Drosophila melanogaster: one gene and its partners. The protein of the gene in region 1 purifies or fractionates together with the protein of each later gene. This does not show direct contact. Each region holds a gene or a part of one and is shown on either strand. Other genes may lie near its edges.

Region 1 (10,395 bases):
GCTGTTGCGGCTTACAATGGTCGAGGGCAGTCGTTCATGCAGACGTCGGGTCTTTTCGGCTTGGGTGATGTTGAATTTTCAGTTATTTCTTCATTGATTATTTCTATTTTTGCTGAGTGAGTTGTGGTATTCGGCTTTCTTTGCTGGAGGTTTTCTTTCAGAAAGTCTAATTCGGCAGTTAATTTCTGTGCCGTTGCCCATGGGGGCGGTGTTTTATTTGTATATCATAGCCACTTAATATGTGCTATACCTTTATTTTTGATTTCCTGACATCCGCGTTTGCCCATTACCACACTCTACTCACTCAGTATTTTTGTTTCTTTTTTTTTCATCAGTGTCCCGTCTCTAGGTCTCCCGCACTGGTGTAAGGGGCGGCCTGCCTCTCACACCTGTTGTCGCTGTTTAGAATTCCCAAATCAAATCGGCAATATTAGCAGCATTTCCTCAGTAGTCCTCAGATCGCAGGCTCCTGCCTCACGGTCGCCATGTAATAAACCAATATATGCCACCAATTGAGAACACGTGTTTTCCTTGCAGTTGGGTGCAGCCGTCAGGCCACCTTTTTATTTCTTCTTATCTCTTCGAGTAGCAGAAACGGTTCTGCCCGCTTAACCTCTACAGAGTGTCTGATCTTACCTAAATACTGCGACTGCGCCGCCGTCGACAGCGGCAGAAGAGCAGCGTATATATATATGTATAAGAGAGAGAGAGAGAGAGCTTATGCGCATATATGGCCAGCGGCCAGCGTGGGGATGCTGACTTAGCTTAAAGCATAAATGGGTGATCTTATATCACGCTCACTTGAGACATTTATTTATGCAATGCAACTAAGTGTTGCTGTGTACTTATAGGTACAGTGTACCCTCGATATATGCACATACTACAATGTAGCCCCAAAAGTAAAAACGCCAGCAACATTAATTTTTAGTGGTATCGTGATACAATGCATGTTAAAAGTCATTGTAGTAAAAACCGACCAAAAAGTAACCCCTATACGGCTACTAGGCACCGTTAGTCCGACTGCACGACCCACCGCGATGAGAAAGATTCCAAGATACCCACAGCGTTCCAAACGAGGCCCCAATTATGCAAATTATTAAATGAAAATAAAATCTAATATAATTATTTCGTGCTGGAGATTCGAATTCCTAATGCCATTGTCACATAAATTTCAAGTTTAAGCATTTTCGGTTAAGACTTTCGTTGGGAATTTATGGGGATTCATGCTCACCATGGAATGTGGCTGGAGACTGGAAATCTATGCTTTGTTCTCCACTCTCTTTTCCCCTTTTTTTATTGTTTCTCGCTTTGTTTTATCACAGGCTGCCGCAGAATTATTTTGAATTAATGTAATGGGTGAAAATGTGGCTCATAAAATAGTAATTATACGAAATTAGAGCAAACTTGATGGCGATTTTCCTACAATTAAGCTGGTAATAGGTCAATATTAATGAGTAACGAACGGTTTTCGAAAAATTGTTACACTCAAAATGATTAATGGCGAATATATGCAACCGTTATTTGCTTATTTATCGCAACTTTTGGCTGCACATTATGTAATTTTACATATTTATGCAGCTAAGCGGAGGTTGCATAAATTATTAATACATTTTTATGGCTCTTTGGTGTCATTTTGGTCAGTAATTTATGTAGAATACGGCTGGGCCAACAACAAGAATCCGAAGAAGAGGAAAAAGCAGAAGGAGAAGTCGCACTCACACACACACACACACACAACACAGCCACACACACTGGAACACAAACGCGGGTCAAACAAGTCAAGCAACTTTTTTCACCTCTTTGGCCAATCTTCGGATTGCCTTCCTTTTTTCTCTTTTTTCTCCTCTTGTTATTAGTAGCATTTAGTTAGGAATGCACCAAAGCGAGAACGTATCGGAAAAAATGTACCAACAGCCACAAGTGCACAATTGAACAAAAATTCGGTTGGAAAATGGTTTTGGCCTGGTTTTCTGGACCAAGACGAAGCGAATGAGAGACGTTGTGTGAAAGAGAGTTTCGAAAATTCCCGATCGCGAACAGATGTCAAAGCCAGTGGACGAGTTCAAAGGCCATTTGCCGCAAATCTCCCATGTTTGTGGTCCGCATTTTATTTTTGGTAACTTCACAGCCTTTTCGCTTTTCTTTTTGGCCTGGTGAGCAATAAATTTGCAAGAGCCACCGCTACACACGCACGAGCACTAACACACACTCACTGTTTTTGTTGTTGCTCGAAACGGAATCCGCGTTTGTTGTTCAGGTGTTGTACGAGCCGCATGCAAAATTCAACTGTGGCGAGAAAATCGAGACTCGAATCGAGAGAGCGGCTTAAAAACAGGTACACAACTATGTGGCGCCACAAAATCCAACAACAAGTGGTGCCACCTGGTCACACTGCACGATCGGCATGTTGCCAGATGGTTGAATACACCGCGAAAAAACTGTGATTTATTTTGGTAATAATCTTAGTTTAATAATTTATATACATAAACAACATAAAACGACTAATGCAAATGTTTACATTTTCCTCGAGCGTAGCAAATATATACCCAACCAATAAAATGTATCTTTTATTTATTTTACGCAAATAAATTTGTCTTTTTGAATATTTTATTAAAACTTGAAAATAAGCTACTAAAGATAAATCTTAGACTAAACGTTAAAACAATACTTAACCGAATTAATTTGTACCTGAAACGTTGGGTCCATAGCCTTCGCATAGCCTTATAGCTTTTCTTCGCCACCTAAGGGAATAAAAGAGGGTAGAGTTCCCAGTTGAGGACGTCGTCGAGGGCAAGGGGCACCCGCTTCCTTCTGATCCTCATCCTCCGCTTCAGGTTTCTTCTGTTCCACATCATCTCTAGTCAATATTGCTTCCGCTGGTTCCTTGTGGGACCCAAAGTAGCGTGAACTGGTGGGCAACTCATCCGCTGTAGACGATTCTTTCGCGGTATCCGTGAAGGCGACAGGTTTACTGCCCAGTTTGGGACGCGACTTGACTTTGGCCAATCGCTTTGATGGCGACTTCTTACAGAACACGCACCTGGGTAATTCGCACTTGCCCTTGCGCTCCAACTCGGGACAGGAAAACTCGTGACGTTTGTTGCACTTAAAATGTTTTGGAGTTAATAGGTTTTCAATGAAAATAAGTGGCAGACCTATTTACCTCGGCAGCCAACGGACAGTAGCCGCGCACAAAGTCAATACAAATCTCGGTCTTGCTGCTCAGCTTCTTGTGTAGGTACGGGCAATCCTCGCGAACGCAAACGCCGCGCAAATAGTACCGACAGACGGGCATCTTCTCCAGCGTGACATTATGGGACAGCAGGCATTTGGGTTTGGTGCACTCCCCGCGCAGAAAGCTGCAAGTAAATGATTTCAAAAAGATAACCGCATTGCGAATTTCGAACATTGGACGCCATCGAAGGTTTAGCACTCTTCGCTTGGCCAAGGACAAACCTGACACAGATGGCAACCTGCCGCTTGTCGTGCAGCTTGCGGCACTTGCCACGACTATGGGCAACGCACTTGCCCAGCTTCTGGAAGATGGCACAAGGCACATTGGTCTTCACCAACGATTTGTTGAGCAACGTCAGGCTTCTCTGTTTGGCGGTGATTAAATGGGCTCGCGACACGTGATTACTGGTGCGTACAAAGACATTCAGTGCCTTTGGCGAAGCAACGTAGGTAAGGCCGCCGATATCGATGCGCCTCAGGATGCTACGATTTACGCTACTCTGGGTAGCACCAGTTGATGAGGTTGAAACTCTGGTCAGGCGGCAGCCGGAAGGATCTAAAATGAACTTATTGCCGCTGACGAAGAGCGTTCTGCCGGACAAGGTACGCTGCAAGGTCCTGGGACTCTCCGATTTGGCTACCCTAGCGGAGGAACTGGCATCCAGCTTGGTTATTTTGTTCTTCGATATCTTCTTGTACATCACACCGTGTATGCTGACCATGCTCAGGGATTTGTTAACGCCCAGCTTCAGCGCCTGCGGCTTGGAGCTGTAATAAAAGTTAAGTTAGTTGATGTACATTACCTTGTCTAACAGAGTCGCCTGTTGCTTGACTATTTTCAACTGCTCGTATCCGATTTTCATTACCTCAGTTTTCTGTTGGGCTGCGCTTCATTGGTGCGTCTCAGGGCGTACTGGCCCACAAACTCGCGTAGAGGACGACGCTTTTTGACCAGCGGTGTGCAGGTAAGTGATATGGAACGCACTAATTTGTACCTAGTGCGTTTAGCAGGTGGAGGAGGATGGAGGGCAGCAACCGCTGGCGCTGCTTTCAATGCTCCTTGCCTCACAATTTTCCGCTTGGAAATGCTTACCAATGGAGGCTGCACCAGGCTGGAAACAGTGGGCACAGGTACTGAAGCAGCGAGCTTCACCGCCGGACCACTTGCCACCACTGATGGCTTGCGCACGAGACACGTGCTCACTTTGCTGATGATCTTGGCGGGCGGAGGAGGTGGAGTCGCCAGTAGGTGTATCGTTGGATCCAGTCGATAGTGCGAGGCGGAAACTTGTTGCATCATAAGCTGCTCCTGCTGCTCCCGCTGGTATTGGTCGTACATGGCCCGCTGGCGATTCAGAAAGTGCGGATTGATATGGATCGCGGGCTGAGGCTGCAGTGGCGCCTGGAACGCCTGGAAGGGCACTTGGAACGGCAGCTGATGCGCCGTTTGACCTTGCAGCTGAAAATTCGGATTGATGTACACCTTTCGCGACATAGACGGCTGTGCCTCGTCGGCACTTATATGCGGCAACATTTCGTTGCTTCCTTGGCTTAACCTAATGAATTAATCCGTTCCAATTTTTGGTTATTTCTCAATTTTTACACTTCTTTCCAATGCTTCTTTGTATTGCACATTTTCTTTACATTACGTACGCAGTGTGAACTTGATCTGGGACCAGAAAAATACCAAAAAATACTGAAGTATAAATGAGGAAAATATACTAACAAAAGTTTTATGATATGTTAATATTAAGCATGTTTTTAAATTATATTTATCATACAATATAAAAAAAGAGGAATATTTGCGGATGAACTTATGCTAACAACCATTTAAGAAATCTATTTCCCGAATAAATGGCACATGCGGCCACCCTAATAAACCTAAAAAGCTTATTGTGAATGGGCACATCATATGTTGTGCAAAACGTGGATTTCATTTGCCGACAAATTTTCAAACGCGAATTTTGAACCAAGATGGGCAAGGATCGGGGCAGAGGACGTAGGAATAACCATTCCGGGCCATACAACAAGAGCAACTGGCGTGGTCAGAAGAAGGATCGCCCCCAAAACAATGGTGGCGGTCAGCGCAACAGGTACAAATTAAATCCCATAAATAATATCGTTGTTAACCGGCGTTTTTCGTTGGACAAAAGTGCTCCACAACAGAAATCCACGCTGCTGGAGACCCAAGTGGGCATTACGGAGTTCACTAACCCGGAGGCACCTGGCTTCACGGGAATACTTAAGTCTCGCTTCTCTGATTTTCACGTGAACGAGATTGATAGCAATGGAAAGGTTCTGGAACTGAACGATCTCAGTGTGCCTAAAGTGGCTATTGTGGGTCTGTATTCACCAATTATCCTGCATACTTGCTTATGCTCATGCATCTCATACTATAACAGCTGTGGCCGAAAACGAACTGGACAACTGGCGGAAAGAACTGGAGGCAGTAATCGGCCCGGAAGTTTGGCAGGATATAGCCAATCTGGCTAAGGCCAAAAACGATCCCGCGATCGAGCAAAAGGTGGAGATTGATGTGACCACTCTGGATAAGGAGCAGCGAACACAAGTCCACCAGATGATAAAACAGCTTTACAAGGGCAAGCTACTGTCCACAACCATTGGACAGCAGCAGGCTAAGCCGAAGGTCCAGGAGGAGGCATCTTTGGAAAATAAGGATGCGGCTGAAGGTGAAACCTCAACCCAGAAAGACTCACAGGTGCCGGCAGAGGAGAAGAAGACTATAAAAGTATTTAAACCAAAGCCAGGACGCGGTTAGTAGAAATGATTACCCAGGGAATTCCTTTTTTTATGCATCGAATTCCATAGGTGACAAACGCTGGAGCTTTCCGGCGGATTACGTGACCTTCCTGGTGCACAAAACCAATTTGGTTACCAGCGATGTGGCCTCTACTTTAGCAGCGCGACTGAAGTAAGTTTGATCAAATTTTAAATGCTTTAATATACTAAGAAAACATTATTTTTCTACAGCTTACGACCATCGCAGGTGAACTACAGCGGCATCAAGGACAAGCGGGCCAAAACCACCCAGAAGTTCTCCGTCAAGCGTCGTACACCAGAGAGCATTTTGGTTGCAGCTCGCTCCCAACGGAATGTTCATATCGGCAACTTTGGATTCGAATCCAATACACTGAAGCTAGGCGATTTGCAGGGCAATCGTTTTCGTATTGCCTTGCGACACATTGCCAAGGAGAAGCGAGAAGAAATCGAGCAGGCACTGCAATCATTGAAGGAACGCGGCTTCATCAACTACTATGGCTTGCAGCGGTTCGGCAACAGCGCCAGTGTCCCAACCTATGAGGTGGGTGTTGCTCTGCTCAAGCACGATTACAAACTGGCCTGCGAACTGATCCTGAAACCCCGGGACTCGGATGTGGAGTTTTTGCGTCCCATACGCGAGGAGTGGTGGAAAAATCGCGACTCCGCGGCGGCAGCTGCACAGATCTACGGCGAAAAGTTCATCGAAAAGAAGCTGCTGGACGGCTTGGCCAGATTTGGTGAATCAGATTACTCATCAGCTCTGCGGCAGATACCACGCAACATGCTCATGCTATATCCACATGCTTACCAAAGCCTGATCTTCAACAGGATAGCGTCTAGACGAATTAAGGAGTTCGGCTTGAAATTGATACCCGGGGATTTGGTTTATGTGGAGCAGGATCAGTCGGAAGCCTCGGAAGAGCAGGCGCAGCAGGGCGAGGCCTTGGAAGAGCAAAAAGAAGAGGAGCCTAACGATGAACCTCTGGAAGTCCCCGAAGGGGATGAAGCCATCGAAGAGGAGTCGATTTTCAAGCGAAAGGTTCGCCCGCTCACAGCAGAAGACATCGCTAGCGGCAAGTACAAACTTTGCGATGTGGTCCTTCCCCTGCCTGGACACGACATCACCTATCCCAGCAACGAGTGCGGCGCGTGGTACGAGGAAATGCTCGCCGAAGTGGGTCTTTCCTCGGATCAACTGAAGCACAAGGAGAAGACATACGCATTGGCTGGCGCCTACCGCAAGATGATCATATCGTCCAGTGATCTCAAGTGGAGCTTTAGAATGTACAATACGCCGGAGGATACACTTATCGCCTCCGACTGGGAGCTATTGAAGAACATTCCGGTTGCACCAGAACCAGCTGAAGCTGAGGCCAATTACATGGCACTCCTGCTGGAGTTCTCGCTGCCCACGGCTGCCTATGCCACCATGTTTTTGCGAGAACTCTTAAAGCAGGACACATCGTCAGCATCGCAAACGCAGTTGGAGAAACAGGCAATGGCTAAGGAGGACAATGAAAAGAAGGCGGTAGGAACCCAGGAGGAACAAATGGAGGTGGTAAAGGAGGTGGCCGACGAGGATGGGCAGGAAACTGAGCAGGCGGAAACTCAGGGGGCCGAGGAGGCGGTGTAGGCCAAGTGAGATACCGAAAATCAATATGCTCAGGAAATCAATTTTACGCGCGCTTCGTATCCAACTTCGAACCAACCACAACAATAACAATGCGCACGTGAGGACGAGGGCTGCTCCCTCTCTCTCTCTCTCTCACTGTCGCATCCCGTGGCTCGCACCCCGTCAATCTCAATCGCTCTCTCTCTCTCTCTCTCTCTCGCCTGGGAGAGTCCTTTTGGTCCTGTTTCTTTGACTGCGATTTTATTCGTTCGGTGGCCACCAACGCGAAAGCTCAAGCGACGCGCTGCGCAGTTTCCCCAGCTCAAAAGTCCAAGTCGCACGGTTTTCCCCAGCGTTCTCAATGAAGAGCAATAACAAATTATTAATTGACAACAAATAACGAACAAGCACGGTCCCCCAAAAATCCACGGACTCCATCCAATTCATCCAGTGATTTAAAGAGATTTTAAACCAAATAAAAAAACCAAGAGGCGAGACAAGGTGAATTTCCAGTTAAATGTAGCATTTAAACGTTTTGGGCGCGTACTTTGAAAATCCATTTATTAAGGCGTAAGTATACATTCGAGTCTACAAATTGTTTATAACTTTTACGACAACACTGAACTAAACAATCACAGAACTGTACAATATTTGATTTTGGCTCTGGCAGCCTATTGATTTTTGTTGTGTGCTTGTGCTGGAAATCAATCGATAATACGGTGTTAATACCAAGAGCTGAGTCCGGGGATTGGGAATGGGAATGGTCTAGTGGGTAGGTGGCTGGCCGTAGGAGTAGTTGGTTCATATAGTGGCTTAGTGCGTCGGAGGGTTCACCATGTACGTGTGAAGTAAGGGGGACTCAGTCGGTACGAGGGGGTAGTGGTAGTGTGGCATCAGTCGTTAAGGGTGCACGACGCTCCTCGCTCGTTATGTTTTTGTTTCGGCCCACTGCTCCCCCTGCGGCAGTCGTCAAATTAATAAACTAAATGCTTGTTTTGGCGTCGTCGTCGCCCTGTCCCCGTGCTGGAGGCCTTCCCCCGATCCGATCCAGACATGGATATTGGACATGTTATTGCTTGCGCGCGCATTCTTTGACTCTTTGACCAGTTCCCAGCAGCAGCTGCGTCATAGTAGGAGTTTTTTGGCGTGGCTCAATTCGATTTTCCCTCGCCTACTCCACCTGCTCCCCGCCCGCCTGTTCAAAGTTGGCTTTTGCCACACAGATAGCTTCCTACTGCATTACTATACACTCCCGCAAGTCTCTGGCTCTATAAATGACCTCTGGCGACAATTGATGCTTTGTTTGGGGTTTACCAGTTGTCTTGAATTTTAAATTGCTAATCTTAAGCCTCAAATAAAATAAACTATTTAATCACAGGCGTGTTAATGTTTTATCATATCATACAATGCAATAGTTAGTTTGTATAGTAAACTTCATTAGATGCGAAGATTAGGTTAAATGAATGGATTAACAATATTTTTTAGGGAAGCATACATTTGGAAAAAGAAGTTATTTAGTATTCGCTTAAGATAATTGTCCAGATATATAAACTATAACAAAAATGACTTAATTATTAAACAATTATATGATCAGTGATGTTTGCTACTTTTGATATCCTATCACGGCATGTATGTATTTAACTTATCATCATGGCAATCTTCCTTTATAACTATATCATCTTGGCAATCTTCCTAAATAACTATATCATCGATTTGCTCGTCGTTCAGGGCGCGCAGATTGCATTTGCATAGGTAGGCCAGAATGCGTTTCTCCGCCTTAATTCGGTTTGCTTCGCCCAGTCCTTCAAGCAGGGCTTCTATCCTCTTTTCTGCTTGAGCCACTGGCGTTGCATGGGCAGGATTTGTGGGTGGTGCTGGTGCAGCTCCCGCAACGGCCAGCTGCTCATCCATGGCCTCCTGGAGCGGATCCTCATCATCGTTGACCTCGTCGCTGGATTTCAGTGTGCTCCTACTCAGATCACCCGAATTTCGGTGATTAATCGGATGGTGGTGATGCTGCAGGAATTTCAAATGCGGCAGAAGACTCCAATCGGAGCCAGTGCCTCCGGCCTTTTCTTTGGCCAGCTCCCGACGCTGTTTGGCCACCAGATGATTCCAACGACTGACACAGGCACTAGCTAAGTTAAAATATAATGAGGAATTAGGGAATATTTATACAATTTATCAGTTTCTTACCTTCTGAATTTAATGAAGTGGCGATGCTGCTCCAGATTTCCGGATGTCGCTTCTTATGCGCTTCGTAGGGTGCGTTTCTAAGTTCGCGCTCATAAAGCTTGGGATTAGCCCTAACCAGCTCAATAAGTCGCGTGTCGAACTGCGACATTTTGATATTTTCAAAATAAACACAAATGAAAATATGTAAACAAATGGAAGCTAGCGAATAAGTATGACCGTTGCTTCGTGTGAGAAATATGCTGTCACAAGAGCATGGTGGCTAAACCCTCTATTCACCACTCCTTGGGTGGTGTGGTGGGATCGGGAGATTCAAAATAAACACCCCACTGGCGGCATTTATTGATTTATTTATTGATTTTATCGTTGTACAGGAGCTGCCGGCCGCAGAGATGGCCGCCGAAAACTATCACCTTAAGTGGGACTCACACCTCACCTATCTTAACTCTTCCATAGCCACACTTTATAAGTAAGTACCACTGTACCATAGTTGGTACATATTTGAAGTTTTTTGTTTTTTGTAATTGTGATCTAGCAGCGTTTTTAATTGTTTAATGTTAAAAACATTAAATGTA
Region 2 (10,537 bases), on another chromosome or scaffold:
CTCGCGAGTGCCGTCATACTGGGTGCGCCATTTGTTGTGTTACCGAGTTCGGCCACACTGCGTAAATATCGATATTTTTCATGTTGCCGATAGCTTTTTTAAACCAGATTTGCATTTTACAAACATTTTCTAAACATTAAATAAATATATAAAGAAATTCAAAAATAATTGTAAAATCACAATATTTGGAGTGTTTATTTATTTTCTCCAACCTTAATAGCTCAACAAATTAAACGCTCTCGAAAAGATTATCAAGGTAATTATTATTTACAAGATGCGATAGTTAACTAAGGAATGTCATTTTAAGGTTTCAATTTCTTTTCCAGCACCCGCGTCCACAATCAATGTCAACTGCCCTTTGGTCGGATTCACCCACGCAGCGGGAAACTTCTTGTCCAGATCGACAAACACACTCTAAAAAATATAATAACAACAAAAATAAACCTTACAAATGAAGTTTTTGAATTGTGGTTAAAAATATCAGATTTCTTGCTCATATTCTTTTCCATCTTATCAAGCTAAAGAGACCTCACCTTGACGACACTGGCTTTTGCGGCGCCCGTAACCACGAAGGCGACATTCCGTGCCTTATTGATCAGCGGCAGGGTGAAAGTGATCCGCTCGGGAGGCGGCTTGGGCGAGTTCCGGATGGGGATAACCAGGCGCTTGGTCTCCTGCAGGGTGGCTGGCTGCTCGGGAAAGAGGGAGCAGGTGTGGCCATCGGGTCCCATGCCAAGCAGCAGCAGATCGAAGCGATCGACTTGACTTTTGACCTTCGCCTCGTAATCTGCGGCGCAGGCGTCCAGCGGTTGGCTGGTATCGGCGCGGACGAACTGGGATTCCTGGATGCAGGGCAATTGGGTTAGCCACTCGGCCCTGTAGGCACCATAGGTGGAATCGCTGTCATCCAGGCGAACATACCGCTCGTCACAGAAGAAAAACACCCATTTGGCCGTTTTTAAGTTGCACGATTTCAGGGCTTTCGTTAGCAACTGGACGAGGGAACCACCTGTAAGCGAAACAAGACACTTGACTTTGGGAGCACAAGTTTAAAGATCGCACCTGGCAAGGTCACCCCTCAAGTTTGGCTTATCACAAGCCAACCCACTTGACCTGCATGACCTGTGCGTTGATCCTTACCCGAAAGTCCCACGCTGAACTTATCATGTTTGGCCAGCGCCTCCTGGGAGCAGCGCTGGAGAAGATCGCCCAGGGCCTGGACAAGTTGCTCCTCCGAAGCGGACGGGATTACTTTTAGCGCACCCTTTTTCTCCGACATATTGCTTGATCTGATAATAAAACTCGACTCGACTTCGATTTGTCAGTAATCACCATTCCCTCTCTCAACTATCGATTACCAATTTATGAAATACATTGCACCGTTTGCGACAAAATGAAAGTAAGTAAATCTTATACGAAAACATTTCACTACCTCTATTCGTAAAATAACAACTTATTTGATATTGAGCAAAAAAGGAGTGTGTACGTGTGTGCTACAACTATATAATATTTAAAGTAAGAATGAGGTAACTCTCTTCAAAACAGTCCAATAAAATAATATTGCATTCTAAAGTTTAACTGCAACAAAACAAAAAATAGCCAATAATCTTTAGATTTATCGCGGTTGTTCTGCGCTAGAGTGTCATCACTGATTACGACCTGTGCGATAGTTGGCCCGCCATCATCGATAGACCTGTCAGAAATTAAGAAAACAATATCAACATCAAGCGAATATACTTCGCTCGCTACATATTTCTAGTTAGTTTTCGTAACTTTTTCGCTTTGGTGGCAATTAAATCAAATTTCCTCGAAGAATAACTTGTAAAAAGGTCGCAAACATCCGTCCAGTTTCTGCCAACCATCGGCCACTGGCTATCGAAAGAAGATCGCTAGTGAATTAAATTTCACAAAATTGCGTTGTACTTTGGCCGTGGAAATTTGCCAAAAAACAGCAGCTACTTTGCTGCTATATTAGCAAATAGGTTCAGGAAGTCGAGAAAAATTTTTCCAGAAGTTGGCAGCAGTTTGTGTGAATGCAAAAAATACATCGCACATAGTTTTTTGCCCTCAAGACAGTTTTCTCAGTAATAACAACAGCACCCACACAAACACACAACACCACTCAGCTAAAAACGTGCTGAAATTCGCATATCTTTTTGTTGCATACGTTTTTGAGTGAATATTAGTAAGATGCCCAAACGCGGCGGTGGCAGTAGCCAGCGGTACAACAACAACGTTGGAAATGGCGGCGGACGTTACAACGCTCCCGAGGATTTCGATGATTTTGGTCAGTACACGGGAGTGCAAGAAAATGAACCCTCCAGTAACCTAAATATAATGTATTCCTATAGATGTGGAGGATCGCCAGCGACGCAAGGATCGAAACAAGCGGCGCGTCAGCTTTAAGCCCTCCCAATGTCTACATAACAAAAAGGACATCAAGCTGCGACCCGAAGATTTGCGTCGATGGGACGAGGATGATGACATGAGCGACATGACCACGGCCGTTAAGGTGCCCACCAACCCCACATGTTATCCCTATGCACATTTCTAATCTAATGTATAATTAATTCCAACAGGATAGACCCACCTCCCGACGTCGGGGATCGCCCATTCCGCGCGGCAAGTTCGGCAAACTGATGCCCAACAGCTTTGGCTGGTACCAAGTCACGGTGAGTTTGGACTACCATGTCATATAGATATCATAGCCGCAATGGCCCAGACCAAAATCATGTGATTTAATAGTAGTTTTATTACTAAGCTAAAGAAGCAAAAGCATTCAGTCCTCCAGCACCTGTTAGATTTATAACGTTCGCCATTATACAAATTAATCGACTGTTCTACTGGATGGCTCTTCTTATGCGAAGTACATATATGTTAAATGTAGTTTTAAGTATTTAGATTACTAACGTCACATAAAACTTCCAGAAGTTTGCTCCAGTGCTCTACTAATTTCCCGCCCCTACATAGAACTACAAACCCCAGACTGGTCCATATAGATACCAGATTTACGACAGCAGTCATAGAACTATTTTTGGTCTCCAAGAACATCATGTGATTCGTCTGATGGCTTTTTTTTTTTGTTATTGGCAAAAGATCGCGTTGAGGGAGCAAAGTATCCGGCAAGAATCGCATAAGTTACAGCGAAATGTTGAGACTTATTTGTTTATTTGTACACTGCTTCCAAAGCTCCAATGCCGACTTGCCGACTGGGCTCTTTGTGTTTATTAATTAATTTCCCTCGTAAAAATCGTAAAGCAAACAAGCCAAAGTTGGGCCGGGGGGATACCAGCTCTACACAGCTAACGACAATCGGGTACTACAATTACAATTGCAATCCGACGAGCGGGCAAATAAATATTTATGGATGGCTAAACACAGTCGTCCACAGTACCAGCCACAAGTGTTTGTCGGCACGAGCTAAAAGTGCAATGAAGTCGAGCCTTTGGTGGTTTGACAGTTGCCATGACCCTCACCTAAATGGTTTCCCATTTTAAGGGCTTGCGGGCCTGCGGTTGGGTTATCCTTCGCCTGGTTGTCACCCTATCCAGCCGCACGTGGTGCAACACAACAGGTCGCTATCTCTCGACGGGGTCGTAAATGCCATAGTAAAATGCCCAATGCTGACTCTCCACCAACAAAAGCTTGCGGTTTCATTCCGTTTGGGCCTTTATTTCATCGACGGCCGGCAGACGGTGAAGACGTGTTCCAACGTCCGACGCCCCATAGAATATATCGCTTGAATCTCAAGAGGCCCGATTAGGGGCAACTTATCAGTTTGGAGTGATTAGATGTGCGACTAGGGTTCCGTCGGGAAAATCAGCCTAACACGTGCCCCACTTAAAACCCGGCATCTGCAATGGCTACTTTGGGCGCCTGGGACTACACGATCCTGGCGGTGGTGCTGATCATCTCCGTTGCGATTGGCATCTACTACCGTTTCGTGGGCGGCAAGCAGAGCACCACCACCGAATATCTTCTGGCGGATCGTTCCATGAACGTGGCGCCTGTGGCCTTTAGCCTGATGGCCAGTTTCATGTCGGCCGTCACCATATTGGGCGTATCCATGGAGAACTACCAGTACGGTACAATGTTCGTCGTGATCAATCTGTCGTATGTGTTGTCCACGCCGGTGGCCGCCTACCTCATCATTCCGGTCTTCTATCGCCTAAAGACGGCCAGTGTGTACGAGTATCTGGAACTGCGGTTTGGCTATGCCACCCGATTGGCCGCCTCGCTGAGCTTCTCGCTCCAGATGGTCCTATACATGGGCATTGTGGTCTATGCGCCGGCTCTGGCCCTGGAAGCTGTCACTGGACTGAGCCAGGTCTTCTCCATCGTAATTGTTGGAGTCGTGTGCACGTTCTATGCGACGCTCGGCGGAATGAAGGCCGTACTCATCACGGACATCTATCAGTCGCTCCTCATGTTCGCCGCTGTCTTCAGTGTAATCATCTGTGCCTGGGTGAAGGCGGGCAGCTTGGAGGTGATATGGCGCGTGGCGCAGGAAAACGGACGCATCAATCTGACCAACTTCAGTGTGGATCCAACGGAACGTCACACTTGGTTCACCCAGATTTTAGGCGGATGTGCCACCTATTTGGCCATCTATGGTGTGAATCAAACGCAGGTCCAGCGCCTGATGGCGGTGAAGAGTTTGAGTGCCGCTCGAGCGGCCCTGTGGTGGTGCCTGCCCATTCTGTGCCTGCTTAGTCTGAGCACCTGTTTCTCCGGTCTGTGCATCTACTGGTACTACCGCGACTGTGACCCGCTGCTGGAGGGTAGAGTCAACTCGCGCGATCAAGTGATGCCGCTCTTTGTCGTGGACACGATGGGCGAATACACCGGTTTGGCTGGCCTCTTCGTTTCGGGAATCTTTTGCGCCAGCCTCTCCACGATTAGTTCGATAATCAGCTCGCTGGCAGCCGTCACCCTGGAGGATTACCTCAAGCCCTTGGTCAGCTGCTGTGCCAAACGCACGCTCACCGACCGTCAGACCTTGTGGTACTCCAAGCTGTTGTCCCTATTCTTCGGAGCCCTCTGCATTGGCATGGCCTTCATGGCGGGATCAATTGGCGGACTACTGCAGGCGGCACTGTCAATCTTCGGCATCATTGGAGGCCCTCTGCTGGGCCTCTTCACGCTGGGCATGTATGTGACCAAGGCGAATGAAAAGGGAGCCATTGGTGGGCTGCTCATATCGCTGGCGTTCTGCTTTTGGATCGGTTTCGGACAACCGAAGCCACCGCTGGTCAGCTTGGATATGTCCACGGCTGGATGTCCGGTGGACAGGAGCTTTGCCCGCGACATTTTCCTCAAGACTGTGATAGCGGTGGCCGAGGAAGAGCATTACTTTTACCTGTACAGGATTAGCTACATGTGGTACGCTGCTTTGGGCTTCCTGATAACCTTCTTTGGCGGATGGCTGTTGTCCTGGCTGTTTGCCCTGCTGAAATGGGACAACAATCGACGCATCTACCAGGATGCGGACTGCACGCTAATCAAGCACGATCTCTTCGTGCCGCCGATAGCCAAACGTTTGCAACGGCGACAAATGCCGCTCCTGGTGGTCACCGGCACCAGTTCGGAGATTGGCGGCATCACGACAGAGAGCGCTACGGCGCCGCCGCGGCTGGACGAGATCGAGTGGGAGAAACACAAGGCAGTGGCGTAACTGAACACATCACCTTAGTAGTTTTTTCTTTTGTTTTTTTTTTGTAGCGCCGTTTTGACCTTAGTTACTCTCCATTAGCTATCACTGCAAGAAATAATAACTTTGCTGTACAATAATACGGTTTAGTTTATTTGCATTTCTATACGAGTCTAAAAATGAGGCAAACTATTATTTGAAAGAATTGCTGCTGGAATTACAATGCTCCTTATAATGTTCTAAAGAAAGTCAGGTCGGAGAATATCATATAGTTGCCATAGTATGTATATCTGCATGGGTCATCCCACTTCGTTCTCCGTGGAGCGTACTACTAGCCTTTTTCTCTTGTCACACAAAATATATATATATATATATATGTATATATATATTAAGTGAACTTTGGCTTTAAATAAACGAGCTTACTCATTAAGCAACTAAATTAACGCTCATCGATGGCCTGATTGGGCTGCTCCTCCGGTCCTTTGGCATTGTAAACATTGCGATTCTGGGACAGATGCCATAGGGCTAGCAGGCGGGCCAGCTCCGTGTAGGTTAGCTTGCGCAGATCACGTCGATCGGCCAGCTTAACTCCGGCGGCCTCTAGCTCCTCCACCAATGTGACGGCATCGTATTCATCCTCCGGATTCTGCTCATTGCGTGGCGCAATTTTTCCGACGAACTCCGACTCTGGCACCGCTTCGCTCTTCACCATGCGCTGCATCTGCTGCACATGCTGCTGTTTATGCTGACGTTGCTGACCCAATGGCTCGTCGACATCTTTTAGCTCCTGTTCGGGATTCATGGGCAGCGAATTGGCCAGGCTGACCATGCCGAGGATCACCAGGAAGATGACCGGAATATTGTTGCACCCAATGGGTTTCATGTTTACGTCCGACTGCTAGTAGCTTTGCTGTGGCACTGCTGCCCGCCTGTCGCATGTCGATCGATCGTGGCCTGGACTCGACTCTCGGGGTGCGCTCCAATTTCTATCTGCCTTCCAACCCGCTCGTACGCTCGCTCGGCTCCCTATCGCTCACTCGAACGCCCCGTGTGGCAGTGCTGGCTGGCGAAGACATTCGCTTTCTTCTTCCAGCATTTGGCTATTATTTTTTTTGGTTACTTTCGAATGCCATGGATTTTGGCAAACAATGGTGCCATTAAACTGCAAGTAAGGCGGGGATATAGATTCTTTTACTTCTAAAACTATATAAATTTGTAATAGATGAGCAGTGAGTGTTTTTAAAATGTATATTTTATTGTATGTTATGCAAAAAATGTTCCATTTAATTCAATACGCTGGAAACGAAGCGCAGCACTGTCGTTTGGGGGGCTGCTTTTGATTGAAAAGTCAGTGTGTAGGGTCGGTTAAATTATTTTATCTGCATATGCAGCACATACACTATACTATACACTATACAACATCGACCCCTGGTACATATGTTATTTAATTGTCTGGCTGGTGCCTTTTGTATTTTGTATTTTGTATGTAGTAGATCCCGCATTTCGTCGTTTTTTATTGTGTATTTTTGTTGGCTACGTTTTTTTTTTATTTTTTCTGTCCGCCTCCAATTCAATTTATCTGCGCAGTTTGTGCTCACTCGGTTCGCCGTCTTCTATTTTCTGCATGTTGGTTTGGCCTAATCTTATCAGCTCTTATTCATAGCCAATTGAACGAGTTGTAATGGTCGAGAGTTTTTAATAATTTCTAGTAGATATGGGTTAATGGACGACGCGCCCCGCGTTAATCAGTCGCAATGTTTCCTTGTGTACCGAACCAATCGGTCAGGCAATCTTAGGTCTAAGAACTTTGTTTGATTGGTCAAAATGTGAATGATATTATTCTACATTTACATGTTCATATTTCACACAAACAATTATTGCTCTATTTGCAACAATTCTAATGGAATACAGTTGAAAAGCAACTAGAGATACCTCGTCTAGAGTTTTAAATTCTTATCGGTAATTGGGCTTATTTAATTACTCACTGCTACAATTACTTTGCCTGCCTTCAGGCGTTGCTAAAAGCTTTTTTTTATAAACAAATTGCAATAGCATAGTCTAACTTGTAGTGCATGCCGAATTAGTGTCAACAAAGAAATTATTGTTAAATATATTGCGCTATTATGTGTTGAATTATAACGATTTGACAAATACACGTAACGACGTTCTTGAGTGACAATGGAAATTGAAAAAAAGTCGAGATTGTCAAGTTGCATGTAACGTGCGACGAAGTAAGTATTGATAAATGTAAATTCTAAATGGAAAATCGCAATTGTCAGTCTTATTTGCATTTTCCTAATGGTTTCACATCTGGCATGCGAGCAACCTACATACATATGTATGTGCTATGCTATATATACATACATATGTATATAAAGTGTTTATAAAATAAATGTACGTGCGAATGGAATGGCCAAAACATTCCACTGACTGATCGTTGTTAGCTTTTATTAGACTGCAAACACGTGCGCCAGCCCGCTTTGGTTAGTTAGTCATTTTTGGTTGAGAATGAAAAGAAGAAAAAAAAAAAACCCAGAACTGTCAGCAGCGTTGATAACCGTGTTGTGGGCCAAACACAACTGACTGACTCACTGTATAGGATAGCTCCATAGCCAGCTATGGGAGGTACCCTATCAAGGGCACCCAATAGCAGCAACCAATCCACTTGACTCTCTTTTGTGTGCATCTCCTGATGTCATCGACCAATAATGCGTTGGATCGTTTCCCTTCTTATCGCTAGCCAGTTGAACTGGCAGATTCCGCCGATTCCAACCTGCGCTCCTGCGGATTCCCACCTTGCCAATCTCATATCCCACATTTATACAGTAGATATGGGATGAGCGAATCTCGTTGAGTACTAGTTTCTACTCAGAACTATCACCGATCACAGAACAGTTAAGAACTTCTATTTCTAACTATGATTTCGTTTCTCAATACATATTTTGAAACAAATACAAGTTTGATGCAACAATTGTTAAACATTATTCATAAAAATTGCATTGAACAGCGAATATTATAATCAAAAGCAAAAGCAGCACTTATTTAATGATATTTGTAGATAGTTAAATAGTTATAGATGCATAGCTTTAAGGTTGTTCTATATGAAATTATCCCATTGAATGCAAAAAATGCAAAAGTGATTGATGATTTCCTGAATCGAAGCCACTTTATAAGACTGTATTTGATTTGAATGAAAGCCCGAGTTTGCCTTTTAATTTAAAGCCAAGTGCAATATTTAGCGATTCAACAATTTATTACGATATTGAAATTCAGGCGCATAACAATTAATAATTACTCGTTAACAGCTTAACTTGATTCATATTCATATTCACATTGTTCGTATGTACATTATCTTTTTATTATTTATTCACACACTCACAACAGACTCACGCACACACTCACGCACACATTGGCATTGAAATGGTTTCAAAAAAAAAGGTTTTGGTTCTTTTCACGTCAGTTAATCTGATGGCAGCTAATCCTGCTCCTGCTCCTCGCTGGTGGTGGTCACCGTCTTCTCCTGCCGCGTGGTGCTAGTGGTGGTGCGTGTCAATGTGAAGACACCGGTGGTGCCCACCTCATCCAGCGGCTGGGCAATGATTGTTGATGTGGTGCTCTGGAAACGAGGTGTTAGACATTTGATACTACATATATTATGAGGAGGGTGTCGTACGCCATTCTTGGTCTCCTCGGGACTCCACGAGCGTTTGTCATCCAAATCCTTTGAGCAACAGCCTCCCATTCTTTGGTTTTGTGCGTATATAGAAATACGTATTCGTTGTATATATGGTATAAATGGTTTGGTTCGGAATGCCTTTATTTTTCGTTCTATATTAATGTATATCGGGGGCCAGTAACTTGTTGCTGCTTCATCGGCGCACGTCTGTCAGCGAATGCCGGTGTTCGATGTGGTGTTCACTTGTTAGCCAAACGAACGAACCGAAAGCCCAACCCAACCCAACCCAACCCAAGCTGCGCCGCCAGCTGTGACTGCGACTGCGACGCCGGAGTTGGGTTGTCATAGCTATATAGCTCCATATCAATTCTAGAAATATGTCTCAGCCAGCGAGCCAGCCAGCCAGCCAGTACTCGCATTCGGTGTATATTGTATTGTGTTGAATACAATAAGTATATGTATAGCTCCATGTATGCCTGTGAGCTGTACAAACAAACCATTCACATTCCAAACAACCAACCAGCCAGCCACCCACCTCAATGCCCCCGTTCGAAACTCTATGTTCCCGAGAATGTCAAATCCGATCTGATTCCCGCTTTGAAAACAGTCACAGTCATCATCTTTATTTTCAAATGGGAACCACTGGCCTTGTCGCCTTAACGGTTCCATTTGCCCATCGAGCAGGTGCAGCGTGTCAACTCAAGGCTGCCATTGTTGTCTGTGGCCTATTTGGTGGCACTATTCAAAGTTGCAACGTGACAACTAATGTCAAAATCCTTCCAAGAGGATTGTGTGCTATGATCTTCCTTTGGTTCATTTAAAAAAACCAAATGGGCCATTAACAGCTTAAATTGGGCACCCTTATATAGAGCTTTTAACTAATTAGCAGAATTAGTCCCAAAAAAAATATAAATAAATACCTTTGTAGTTAGGACCAAACTTTATTTAAAGATCCTATGACACATCAACTTTGCGGGGAAATTCAAATACACAATGGTTGTAAATTAATAAAAACACAACAATTTGTCATTTTTGAATGCGATATCACGAGGGGGTTTATGTTGTTCGTATGTTTTAGTCAATGGAAAGTTAGGGTTAACCATATCGAGGCAACCAATAGACGCAAAAGAGCCAAAATATACATATAATCGTATACAGCTAATGCCCGTAATAAATAAATTTATCGCATTAATGCGCAATGAATGAGTGGG
Region 3 (10,981 bases), on another chromosome or scaffold:
CAAATTGTGATGTTTTTTTTAAGAGAGTTAGGATTGTGCTATACCTGTATGTCTGTGCCTGATGTGCCAGGTCAGCGAGCTCCAAGTTCGTCGGCCAGTTAAGTTTCGAAAGTATTCTGCTCCCAGCAGGTCTTTATGTTTAGTTCTAAGGATGACCATTATACATATAAATTACCCAATGAAATATACCTTCACTTTCGCCGTGACGGAACTCTTTTATTTCTCGGAGTGTGGCATGAGTTATGAGCTAGATCCGGTCGTAGACTGTAGTTAGCGTAGAGTGAACATCGGTAATTTAGGTATTCGTGAGTATGAATAATATAATTCTTGAAGAATTTACCATATTAAAAAAAATGCAGTATATCCCGAGGCGCCTTTTCCCGATCGAAAATGTCTAAGGAATTGCATTGCATACCCTCGGGCTGCTCAGATCGTGGAGATCATAGCATAGCCACAGGAGTTGGTCGTAAATGATTCGTTTGAGATCTAATACCTTGCCTTTTTTTCCAGATACTGCAGCATGACGTACATCGTCGATCAACTGTTCCCGCCGGTGAAACTCGACGAAGCCTCCGCCGAGTTCTCCAACTTCAACTACTGGCGCGACCCCATCCCCGACCTGGAGATCCCCGAGCTGGAGACGGCGCTGGTGCCACCGAGCACCAAGGTGGACATGGCCACCCTGCGCCCCATTCCCGAGAAGTGAACTGGCTGCTTAGAAGCCCAGCTTGCGTACTAAAAACCTATTTACATATATGGATATGCAACACACTCTATTTATAGCAGATATAGCGCTTTTCCAAATTGTTTGCCTAGCTTCAAACCTTCTAGATGTGCTTACCAAAAATGAAATATCTATATTATGCATAAGCTTAGCCAGGATTCGCGATTGCCTTGGTTCCATTATCATTTCCTTTCGATCGTTTCTAGTTAAATGGGTGGTTTAAGTTGTAATCAAAATTCAGTTATTAATAGTGACTACTATAAGTATGTTCCTTTGAGACTCCCCGCAGGTTCGTAGATGATGCATATTCCAGACGGCGCATAGGAGTTGTGATTTTGATTTCATTATTTTTCGTATGTGATCATTTAAATTAAGTTAATTGTGATGAGGTTTTTATTTGAAGTTTTTATGAAAACTGTGCTCTAAACCTATGTATACTTAACTGATAGTGTTTCAATACCAATAAATGCTTCAAATTCAAACAAAACAAGTCAAGTCTATATACAATTCTCTGTTTGTGTCTGGAAACCACCTGCACCTGCCTGGCGTCTGGCATACGAATTATGAGTTGACTGGGGACGACACTCGATTCCCAGGCGGCTTCTCATGTTGCAGTGGAAAGTTCTCGCATCTGGCTGGGGCACCTCCATGATCCGAGCCGAGAGCCGCGGGTGCGTTGGCAGCGGGGGGCATTTCATTTGTCAACGTAATTTTGCCAATTCAATTAATGCTCATTTAATGCAGAGCAGGCCGACCGGCCAGCCTACAGCATACACATTGGTGTACAATGGCCCACGGACAACGAAGTGGGCAGTTAAGTGGCCACAAACGGTCGGTCATGCAAACTCAGTGGCAGATCCACAATTACTTTTCCTAGGGGGCACAACTCTCCTAGTATGTACATATGGGGGAATTACGAAAAGCACAGTTTTGCGTATGTGAACATGCCTTTTGGTTCCAAAGTTCTATGAATTTTATTTTCCATTTAAGCCAGTCGCTAAAAAAAAAACCAAAATCTGATTTATACAATCAATAATAAAGACATCAACTAATGACATGAATAATGATTTTGGTTTTGGTATAAAATTGTTTTATATATTCTTAAACAATCGAACGAGCAAGTATGATAACTCAAAGGAATTCCAAATGAAGTTATATTACATCGATGTCATTTCCTAAAATCACGAATATAGCATAAGATAGTTCTATCCCGTGGACCACACCTATGTGATTTGATTTTGGATTTTATACTAACAAGCAATGGGAATCTGAACCGATTTTTCTGCTTATGCTAATGCCACAACTTATATCAGAATCAGCTGATAATATTTCCATTTGAAACTTTGTTGTATAAATTATATTTATTAATAAGAAAAAAAAGAAGGTATATTGACTTTGGCCGGAAAGACGAAACATTTGCGAGCATATAAAGAATATACGTATATTCATGATCAGTATCAGCAGCCAGGTGGATTTCGCTATGCCCACCAGTTCTACTACGCAAACTCAGTTCTACAGATATCTAAATGAAACTACCATTAAAGTTTGTTCTCTAATACTTGTCAGGTAGTATATAAGTAGGAACGGGCCGGATTGGACTTGGGCCATTGCATCACTAGGAATATTCGAAAAAAATGTTGGTCAAAAAGTATTTTAGTTCGGTTTTCGGAATTTTTTAAACAATATATAATTTTGGTTTTAATTTGGTAAAAATCCGACGAATATATATTCCGAACAGTCGGAAAAGTAATTGAAAATGGCAGAAATTAAATCACAGTTCATTTTGATTCACTATGATCTTTATGCGGAATAAAATCTTAGTTTTGATATATAAATTGTGCAATGATATATATCTTTCCTTCCTGTTCTCTATTTAAATTTGGTAATGCGTTCTCTTGGAATGCTAATGTAATGGATAGAAAAATCAAATTAGCTCATCATATAAAAAGAAACAATATAATTGTTATCCTCTTTAACCAGAAGTAAATGCCATTTAAATAAAAATTTTTTTGCTTCATGATAATGGTATATACAAAACTAAGAAAAATTATATCGAGAAAATTACTACTGCTGAACAGTAGTAAAAACCAAATACTGCATTCTAACATTAAGACCAAGCCGAGCGGCATAGCCGCTCTTCTCTATTGCCAGTATCCCTGCAAACTCTTCAATCCTAGATATCATTTTCATATATCAGGTAATCCTTAATTTCTCGTCTCCTCAACAACCTCGACATTATCAAAAAATTCCATAATGAGATTTAAATTACGCCGGCGAGTGCAACTCAATTGAGCGACACTCAAAATCGCCCCACAGTTGAGTGCGACATACCCACATTGAGCGGGGCTCGAAGGTATAAAAGCTGGAGCAGCCCAGACCACAGTCAACAGTTTCCTCCGAGCGAGCATTCAGTCCTCACACAATCTATCACAGAAGCCAAAAAAAATAAGATTCACCATGAAGAACGCTGTTGCTATTCTGCTGTGCGCCCTGCTGGGTCTGGTAAGTGTTGCAAGGAGACAGAAGCCGATGGCAGCCAGTAATCTAAATTCATCCGTTTGCTCCTCGACAGGCCTCTGCCTCCGACTACAAGCTGCGCACCGCCGAGGATCTGCAGAGCGCGCGCAAGGAGTGTGCCGCCAGCAGCAAGGTGACCGAGGCCCTGATCGCCAAGTACAAGACCTTCGACTATCCCGACGATGACATCACCCGCAACTACATCCAGTGCATCTTCGTCAAATTCGACCTGTTCGATGAGGCCAAGGGCTTCAAGGTGGAGAACCTGGTGGCGCAACTGGGCCAGGGCAAGGAGGACAAGGCCGCGCTGAAGGCCGACATCGAGAAGTGCGCCGACAAGAACGAGCAGAAGTCGCCCGCCAACGAATGGGCCTTCCGTGGCTTCAAGTGTTTCCTTGGCAAGAACCTGCCCCTCGTGCAGGCCGCCGTCCAGAAGAACTAGGAGTTCAGCGCAGTTCCACATCAATTCTAGAAGCGAAAGATCAATCAACACGCAAGCAACGCGGCATTTTCGAGTTGAAATCCGCTCAGGCTCTGCAATCCTACGATTGAAATAAAACCATATAATAGTGCTTTTGAATGAAGAATGTTCTTTTTATTATTCACAATATTTCTGAGGGCTGGAAGAGAGGTAGGGCTGCTGGTGGTGGCAGGAATCAAGCTGTTACTCGCATCCTCAATCCCAAAAAACCTTGTCCCGCCCAAAGGAAAGGCATTGATAGCTTATTTAATTCGATTATATTTGTCTTCATCTTTTTCGCTTTAGTAAATTCAACTTCTTTTCTTATCTTCTCTTTACTCTATATATTTTTTTTTTAAATATATAAATTACACACGCACTTTTTATATATTTTGTTGATTTACTTCTTTCCCAAGAGTCTTGTGTTCTTTTGATTTTTTTTTTATATTTTCTTCCTTCTTTATTTGCTTTTGCCATCTTTTAACTTCTTTTATTTGGGGTTTGTGGTTTCTTTTGCGCTTCTTTTATATATACTTATTGTTGTATATACTTTTTTGTTTTTTAAATCAACTTCTTGTTTTTCATAATCTTTTTTTTTTTTTTGATGTTTTATTGAAAATTAAAATGTGTGAAAAGGGGGTGTTTGGTGTTGGGTGCTTCAAAAAACATTATAGCCAAGTCAAGATATTCGTTTTCCTTGTTGATTTTTTATTATTTTCGAGGTCTCTTCTTTTCGCCTGTTTTCTTGCTGCTGATGCATTTTTTATTGAAACGATATTTTTTCTGGCGTTTTCTGTTGCGATTGTTTTCTCTTTTTTATTTAGCAAAGAAGTTTGGCAATAAAATAATGTTTTTTGAAATTATATTGTAAAAAAATCTGAAATCAAATAGTTAATGGATTAAAGACGACAGTCGGTAAATCGAATGGAAGCATTATAATAAAACCCAACACGCTGCGAATGAGAGCAAGGTATTCCCATAAAGGGTTCGGAAAATTATTCTGTTTTTGACCATAAATTTGATTGTTTTTATTTCCCGTAATGATCTACCAGCTATGCAAACTAAATCTATTTAGCTCCATAAAAACAAACGGCATTTTCTAACAACTTAAATTTAACATAAAAAGACGTCCTCATTGGTTTTATAAATTTTAAGAAAAAAAATGTATCAAAATATAAGAGATAGATATCGGATTACTTTATGTAACCGACATAAATCGGACGCAACCCACACATATAAAATTTCAACTATCAATTATTTTCAGTTCGAAATTGTCAACTTACCTTACTAGGGATTTTAATAAAACAATAATCAGTAAGGAGCGTAGTAATTGGCGCGACCACGGTAACCCCTTCTGGAACGAAAGACAGACCGGGATTAGCTCGATCCAATCGGGATTTTCCAGAGCCCACTTACATAGCTCTTCGGGCGCCTCGGAAGGTGGAGTGACAGCACGCCCGGGAGACACGGGCTCCTCGACCCCGGAAGCTGCCGCGTGCGAAACGGTTTGTGGTGGAGAGTCCAGGGCGGTTTGTGCGCTTCGACATTACCTGAAAGTCAATAGATTAAGCTAAAGTCAACTCTAAATATGTGCTTTCAAAATTGCGCTACGTAGGAGTCCCTAGGACTCATTCTATCCACATATGTACATGAGAGTTTGATAGGTAGCAGGACTAGCAAAAAGTGCTTCAGATACTCACCTTTATTTGACGCCCTCGGAAGAGGGTTTCGTTCATGGCCAATGCCGTCTCGACAAACTCCTTGGAACCAAACTCAATGTATGCGAATCCCTTGGGGTGCCCGTCAGCCTTGTTGCAGAGTATGGTTACTCGGTTGATTGTGCCGCATCCGTGGAAGTGGGCCTCCAGTTCCTCGGCCGATGCGCCGTAGTCCACATTGCCCACGTAGACGGACCGCGTGTCGATTTCCTGCTTCTCCTCAAGAGAAAGCGGGACTGTGGCCAAGCCGGTGGTAGACCCACCGGCCATTTGTTTGTCCACCTCCGACTGCATCTGCTTTATCTTCTCGGCCTCCTCTTCCATCTCCTTGACTCGAGCCTTTATGGCCTCCAGTTCCGGGTCGATTTGCATGCTGCCCTCCTCCTGGCGACGAGGAAAATATGAAATTTAGTGGTATTTGATTTGGAGCGATGAGCAAACGCCCGAAACCACAGCAGACAATGGAATGGAGTGGCGGTGCGAAGTGACGCTCTGAAAATGGCAGCCATTGCTGCGGTTTTCGGCTTTGTATATCCCCCAAAGCTTTGCGAGCTTTTCCAGGGAATTCGGCGGGCTTTCGCAAGGCGTGAGGCCAAGAAACTGGTTCTTGGGCACTGTCTACAAGGGCAACCCCAACTCACCTCGACCTCTGTGGCGATCTCAGTCTCTTGCTCCCCGTTCGTCTCCTCCAATGACTCCAGGAGCTGATCCTCGTTCAATGTGATATCTTCATCGGCCATTGCTTTGGATTTGGGTTTGTTTACGTCTGCTACAAAAGCTCGGTTTTGTTGGCGCAAAAGCTTCCGGCGTGGTACTCAAAACGGCAGTTGTCGTAACTATGTATGTATGGTAGCTGTCAATGAGAAAAGGGCGGCGAAAGTGAGCATAAAGAGCGTAAAACATTAAGAGCGCGAATGAAGAGTTCATCATGCAAATGCAGTGAAAATCCAAGCCATAAGTAAATAAATTCAGGCTGCGGACACCGAAATGTCTAGGTTTCACTGCGTTCGCACTACTACACTGATATTTAATTAAACACACTGTACTTACGTTTAATAAATGTACAAATTACGAGCTCGTTCTGCTGACGTTGAGTTCGCCCAAAATGGCTGCCCTGTGAAAACACACGTACGCTGGGTTGCTGGGTTGCTGTTTTTCGTTCAAAAGTCTACGTTTTTAAACCCTTTTCGACTTTGTTTCGCGCCACACCACGTCAGCATAAATATTTATTTATAAGCTTATTTATTTATTATTTACTAATATTTACAACTATACGAAAACGTACGTAGTTTTTGACACAAATTGAAACAGATTTGTGTTCGCCTCGTTTTTACCGATGACAGTTTTCGCCTCGATAGTTTCGATGGTTTGGTGGTGGGTTTACCTATCGATAACTGCCGGTATTTAAGAAAGCAGTTCTTTGGATGATAAAAATAATAGTATTTTCACACCACAATGCCATTTTAAATTTACCATAGGAAGGAAAGAAGAGGAATGTGCACGCACATTTCTAACAAGGTTTTGTAAATGGGAATCAGACAAATTATTGTTTAAGGAAGTCATATATTGCGAAATAACGCCATCATTCAACCATCAATCAGGGCCCATGCATAACGATAAAAGGAGAACATGAACGATTCCTCCGATTCGGAGTACGAGGACACAGAGTACCTGGTATTTGCGGATTTCAAGAACCACATTCATCCGCACCAGCTGAAGCACGAGGACGCGGCCATTAAGATCATCGGAATCGAGAGTGACACGCCCATGGCCGAGGTAAATGGAAGCATTTATCGGGGACGCTACGAACATTCCGTGGGAACCAACGTGTTCTTTGAGAAGGAAAAAGACAATCTGGCAAGTGATCCGCTTTTTGAGTCAGTGTGTCGCCAGCGGTACCAGTACGTGGACAAATCCACCAAGGTGATATCTTTTGAAAGGGTCTACGTGGACAATTTGCACCAGGAGGTGGAGAAGTCGGCTGAGACTGAAGAGGACGATCAGACCGAGCCAAAGCCAGAATCTCTGAAGCTAAATATAACTTACAAGGAGGCTATTAACAAGTTTGGAGAAGATCATTGAGTGTGGAGAACTGAGTCTAATCCTGAACAAAAAACACTCTTTCAAGACATACCTCTTAGTACCATGGATACCACCTATATTACAACGAATCCAGCTTTAAGCCTGCGAGACTTTCTAGCCGACTATCAAAAGAAAATATCCGGTACTGCAGACGAAGTGCCCTTCTTTCTCCAAAAAAACCCAGTACTTGTCGACGTGTCTGAAAGCTGTTCCCTGGACTTGATCGAGTCCCCAGACGACAGCTCGATTGCAGTCTTCCAGCCCGCCGCAGACAAATGCCGCCCAACCTTTTCTCCGCCGCAGGAGAACCAGCATGTGCCCTCCACTTTTACTGCTCTAAGCCAGCACAAGGACAAGTCCCGTAAGTGTCCCTTTGGCCGCACCCAGTACAGCCACAAACTGAATCCGACGCCGACAGACTCGCCTAACCTGCACATCGATGCTTGCGGCGAACTGGAGCTAACCGTGCGTCTATATCGACCACCGCGGGCCTACCATCGCGGGTTTAAGGTGGAGATTCCCGTTTTCGCCGAGGAGTTCGTATGTCTGGGCAGCAATTATCTGACCGAGCTGCGGGACAAGATCAGCTGCGTTTGCAATGGAAAACGGTTTGTCGACATCAGCGACGATCCAGATGCACCGTTGCCATCCATTGACACAAATCCCGGTTACTTCTTCATCAACGACACATTCTACAACGACCAGCGCAATCCGGACAATCCCGACTATTCCAAGACCGTCTTGCAGTGGGCTGCCAGAGCGAACGGAGTGAACGGAGAAACGCTTAAGGTGGAGAGTATGGAGGGCAAAAGATTCATCGATCTCACTGTCAGCCCCGGATCACCGCTACACTACCTGCACCACGGCAATTGCGAACACCTGTTTGTGATCTCCCAGGTAGAGGTGCTAACGCCACTTAGTAAACGGCCAGATCGCAGCCTGTATCCCTATCCTCACGCCTTCAGTACGTTTAATCGCAGGACTTGCTATATGTGCGGCATTCGCAGCTATAGCTTCATCGTGAACCAGTCCCGGCGACAGCTGCACGATCCCTCCTACCTGTGCCGCAGATGTTTTCTCAGCTTCTTTTACGTGGATGGTGTCAAGCTGGGCCAGTTCAAAGCCTATCGCATGTATGACCATGTAGAGCTGGAGGGCGAAGAGGAGGACATTAAACAGCAAAATCTCCCCTCCTGAATATACATATACATTTGTGTGATTTTTTCTTTATTTGCGAGCTCCTTTGACTGCAAGATCGCTCAAGGAGTTGATTGATATTTTGTTCTTGTAAAATATTCATAGATAGATTTAAATAAAATACATACACGTTGCAACAAGAGTAATTGGCATTGAACGTATTCGATTGCCGTAAAGCTGCCTAAATTCCATGCAATCTAGATTAGCAAAAAGTTAGTGTCCAAGTTAGGAATACAAAAATGCAAACAACGTAAATAGTACGATACATCTGGCTTAGAACTTACGTTAATACATATATGCAGTAGTTCAATGTTTAAAAATTTGCTTAAGGATTTGCACACTGTGGTGCAGAGTATAGACTTGACCAGGACCCATATAAAACAAACCAATAGACTAAATATGGCAAATAACATAATACATTATCCTAGACAAGATACTAGTACTAACCGTACTTAGCAGTACAATACAGTAAAATTCTGTGCACTGGGATTCCGGCGTGCACGTGAAGAGAGACTGTGCGCTTAGTTACTGGGGCGTAGAAATGCATCAACAACATATTGCCAATCCGACCAACAAATATCATTACGAACAACTGCAGGCTGGGATTCCATTCGCCCGGACCTCTTTGGTGTACGCGCTTGCGTTTACTTCAGTGTTAAAGCTTTGACCAGCGGCTTCTCGACGGCGGGCGGCGGTTGCCTAACTCTGGAAGACCAGCTCCCGCTCCACCGACAAGTACTCCAGCATCTGCGCCGGCACTGGCAACTGGGCCAGCTGTTCGCGAGACATCTGGCGCTGCAGAACACGGCGGCATAAGTCCTGCAGCTTGGGCATGTTGGAGTACCGGCTCAACGGGTACTTGAGGATCACTGGAAACGGTGGCTGCATCTCGTTGGGAACCTTCACAAAGCACACAAAGTTGTCGTTGGTGCAGCGGTGCAAGATATCTTCGATCATCTCGACAATGGACTCGTACTTAAGTTCCTCGAAGTGCCAAAAATTGTCGCGATATTCCAGTCGATAATGCAGGGTTACGTTCACAATCCGAAAGCTGAGCGTGAATTGGGATCCGCTGGTTTCCGAGTCGCGGACTAGAAACGACCCAGTCGGCTTGTCACTCAACTGCCGCTGCGAATCGCGCCTGGAGATCTCACCCCAGTACCACACTTGGCTAAAAACAAACAAAGGGCATGAGTCATCGATCGTTGATGGACGGAGAAACACGGCGCTTACTTGAGCATCTCGGAGCAGGCCTTGTACATGATCTGGTTGGGCGAGTGGGCGTCCTCGCGCTCAAGCCATTTCTTCCGGATAAAGCGCAAGTAGTCGTGTGTGAATGGTAGCGTGGGTTCCGGACAGATGGCCGGCGTAAGGAACTCGTAGGTGGCATCAGTAGTTCCGCCGTCGTCGCAGTCGCCCATGGAGTGCCAGTTTCGCAGGGAGCTGAGCCCTTGGCCCACCTTCCTTCGTAGTCTGGCAAACACGTTTCGCTTGTCCTTGTCCCGCCTTCTGCGCAGAGTTCCTGTGCCCGTGCCCCCATTGCTGCAGCTGGCCATGGAAGAGTCCGCTGCCTCAAGGACGCACACTTCGTTGTTGTTGTTCTGCGATCCACTGGTGGAGACGGCGGCGGATGCAGTCACGGCCAGCGCCGAGTCGGACTTCTTGCGCCTGGTCAGCGAGTGGAACCAGCCCTTCTTTTCCTTCTCCCTGTCCCTCGGGGAGTCACCACCGCCAGTGAGCGCCTGGCTCCGCTGGCTGCTCTGGTTTTGACTCTGGTCGCCGTGGCTCATTTTGGAGTGGAATCGGATCGGATCGGAGCTTCCTCGTGGTGGAATTACATCATTGATCTAATTCGGAGCCGTGATCAATGCCTAACTTTATTGATAAGAACTATTTGTTTTCGTTGTACACAAGAACTGTCTTATCGCTATCGGTCGTGCGTAGCTGGTAAATGCTATCGATAACATAGGGGAGTTTAAAAAATTAAATTCTCTGCAAGGCAAAGCTTTAATTTATCCATTATTACAGCCCTCTGCTTTAGGCATTTTTAAAACTAACTTAAATTATTTCAAGTAAAATCTCGTTGACTTAAATATATTGTTTTCCATATTGCAATTTTTTAATATTAATGTAGTTTGTCATTCAAATAAGCTTTATTTTTATAAATCGCTACAAAAAATATGACATTAATTTGACAGAAATTTAAACACATCGATTTAACGATAACGAAATCGAACATACTTCCATCTCTAGCACATTTAAAATCATTTTAATCATAAGAAA

The links.
Region 2: the proteins of ZC3H3 (region 1) and sbr purify together in Drosophila melanogaster (affinity purification with western blotting; 2 studies listed by BioGRID). This does not show direct contact.
Region 3: the proteins of ZC3H3 (region 1) and Pabp2 purify together in Drosophila melanogaster (affinity purification with western blotting; one study listed by BioGRID). This does not show direct contact.

What each region holds. Positions count from the first base shown.
Region 1 is NT_037436.4:8,504,877-8,515,271, forward strand, and holds ZC3H3 (ZC3H3), read right to left. Parts: upstream 4,888-10,395; 5' UTR 4,769-4,887; coding exon 4,101-4,768; intron 4,003-4,100; coding exon 3,457-4,002; intron 3,360-3,456; coding exon 3,164-3,359; intron 3,106-3,163; coding exon 2,722-3,105; 3' UTR 2,593-2,721; downstream 1-2,592. Other genes in the region: Pus7 (pseudouridine synthase 7), read left to right, coding at 5,209-5,327, 5,388-5,575, 5,637-6,008, 6,064-6,166, 6,226-7,648; CG6683 (uncharacterized protein), read right to left, coding at 9,320-9,765, 9,824-9,971; CG6765 (uncharacterized protein), read left to right, coding at 10,213-10,289.
Region 2 is NC_004354.4:10,838,242-10,848,778, reverse strand, and holds the start of sbr (small bristles), read left to right. Parts: upstream 1-1,686; 5' UTR 1,687-2,190; coding exon 2,191-2,287; intron 2,288-2,351; coding exon 2,352-2,512; intron 2,513-2,579; coding exon 2,580-2,672; intron 2,673-3,697; exon of another isoform or gene 3,698-3,859; coding exon of another isoform or gene 3,860-5,674; exon of another isoform or gene 5,675-6,089; coding exon of another isoform or gene 6,090-6,533; exon of another isoform or gene 6,534-6,574; intron 6,575-8,883; exon of another isoform or gene 8,884-9,125; coding exon of another isoform or gene 9,126-9,266; intron 9,267-9,323; coding exon of another isoform or gene 9,324-9,392; exon of another isoform or gene 9,393-9,549; intron 9,550-10,537. Other genes in the region: Pgls (6-phosphogluconolactonase), read right to left, coding at 298-414, 534-1,009, 1,141-1,279; CG32669 (uncharacterized protein), read left to right, coding at 3,860-5,674; CG15209 (uncharacterized protein), read right to left, coding at 6,090-6,533; CG15210 (uncharacterized protein), read right to left, coding at 9,126-9,266, 9,324-9,392. UniProt on the Drosophila melanogaster protein: Mediates the export of the majority of mRNAs from the nucleus to the cytoplasm. In ovarian follicle cells, plays a role in transposable element silencing regulation by enabling the nuclear export of flamenco (flam) transcripts and subsequent piRNA biogenesis.
Region 3 is NT_033778.4:8,127,212-8,138,192, reverse strand, and holds Pabp2 (Pabp2), read right to left. Parts: upstream 6,763-10,981; 5' UTR 6,470-6,762; intron 6,273-6,469; 5' UTR 6,160-6,272; coding exon 6,061-6,159; intron 5,804-6,060; coding exon 5,402-5,803; intron 5,252-5,401; coding exon 5,118-5,251; intron 5,053-5,117; coding exon 5,013-5,052; 3' UTR 4,985-5,012; exon of another isoform or gene 4,716-4,984; intron 4,579-4,715; 3' UTR 3,819-4,578; downstream 1-3,818. Other genes in the region: Obp44a (Odorant-binding protein 44a), read left to right, coding at 3,182-3,226, 3,297-3,683; CG42516 (uncharacterized protein), read left to right, coding at 7,049-7,501; Pbp49 (PSEA-binding protein 49kD), read left to right, coding at 7,565-8,698; Socs44A (suppressor of cytokine signaling at 44A), read right to left, coding at 9,398-9,869, 9,932-10,488. UniProt on the Drosophila melanogaster protein: Involved in the 3'-end formation of mRNA precursors (pre-mRNA) by the addition of a poly(A) tail of 200-250 nt to the upstream cleavage product.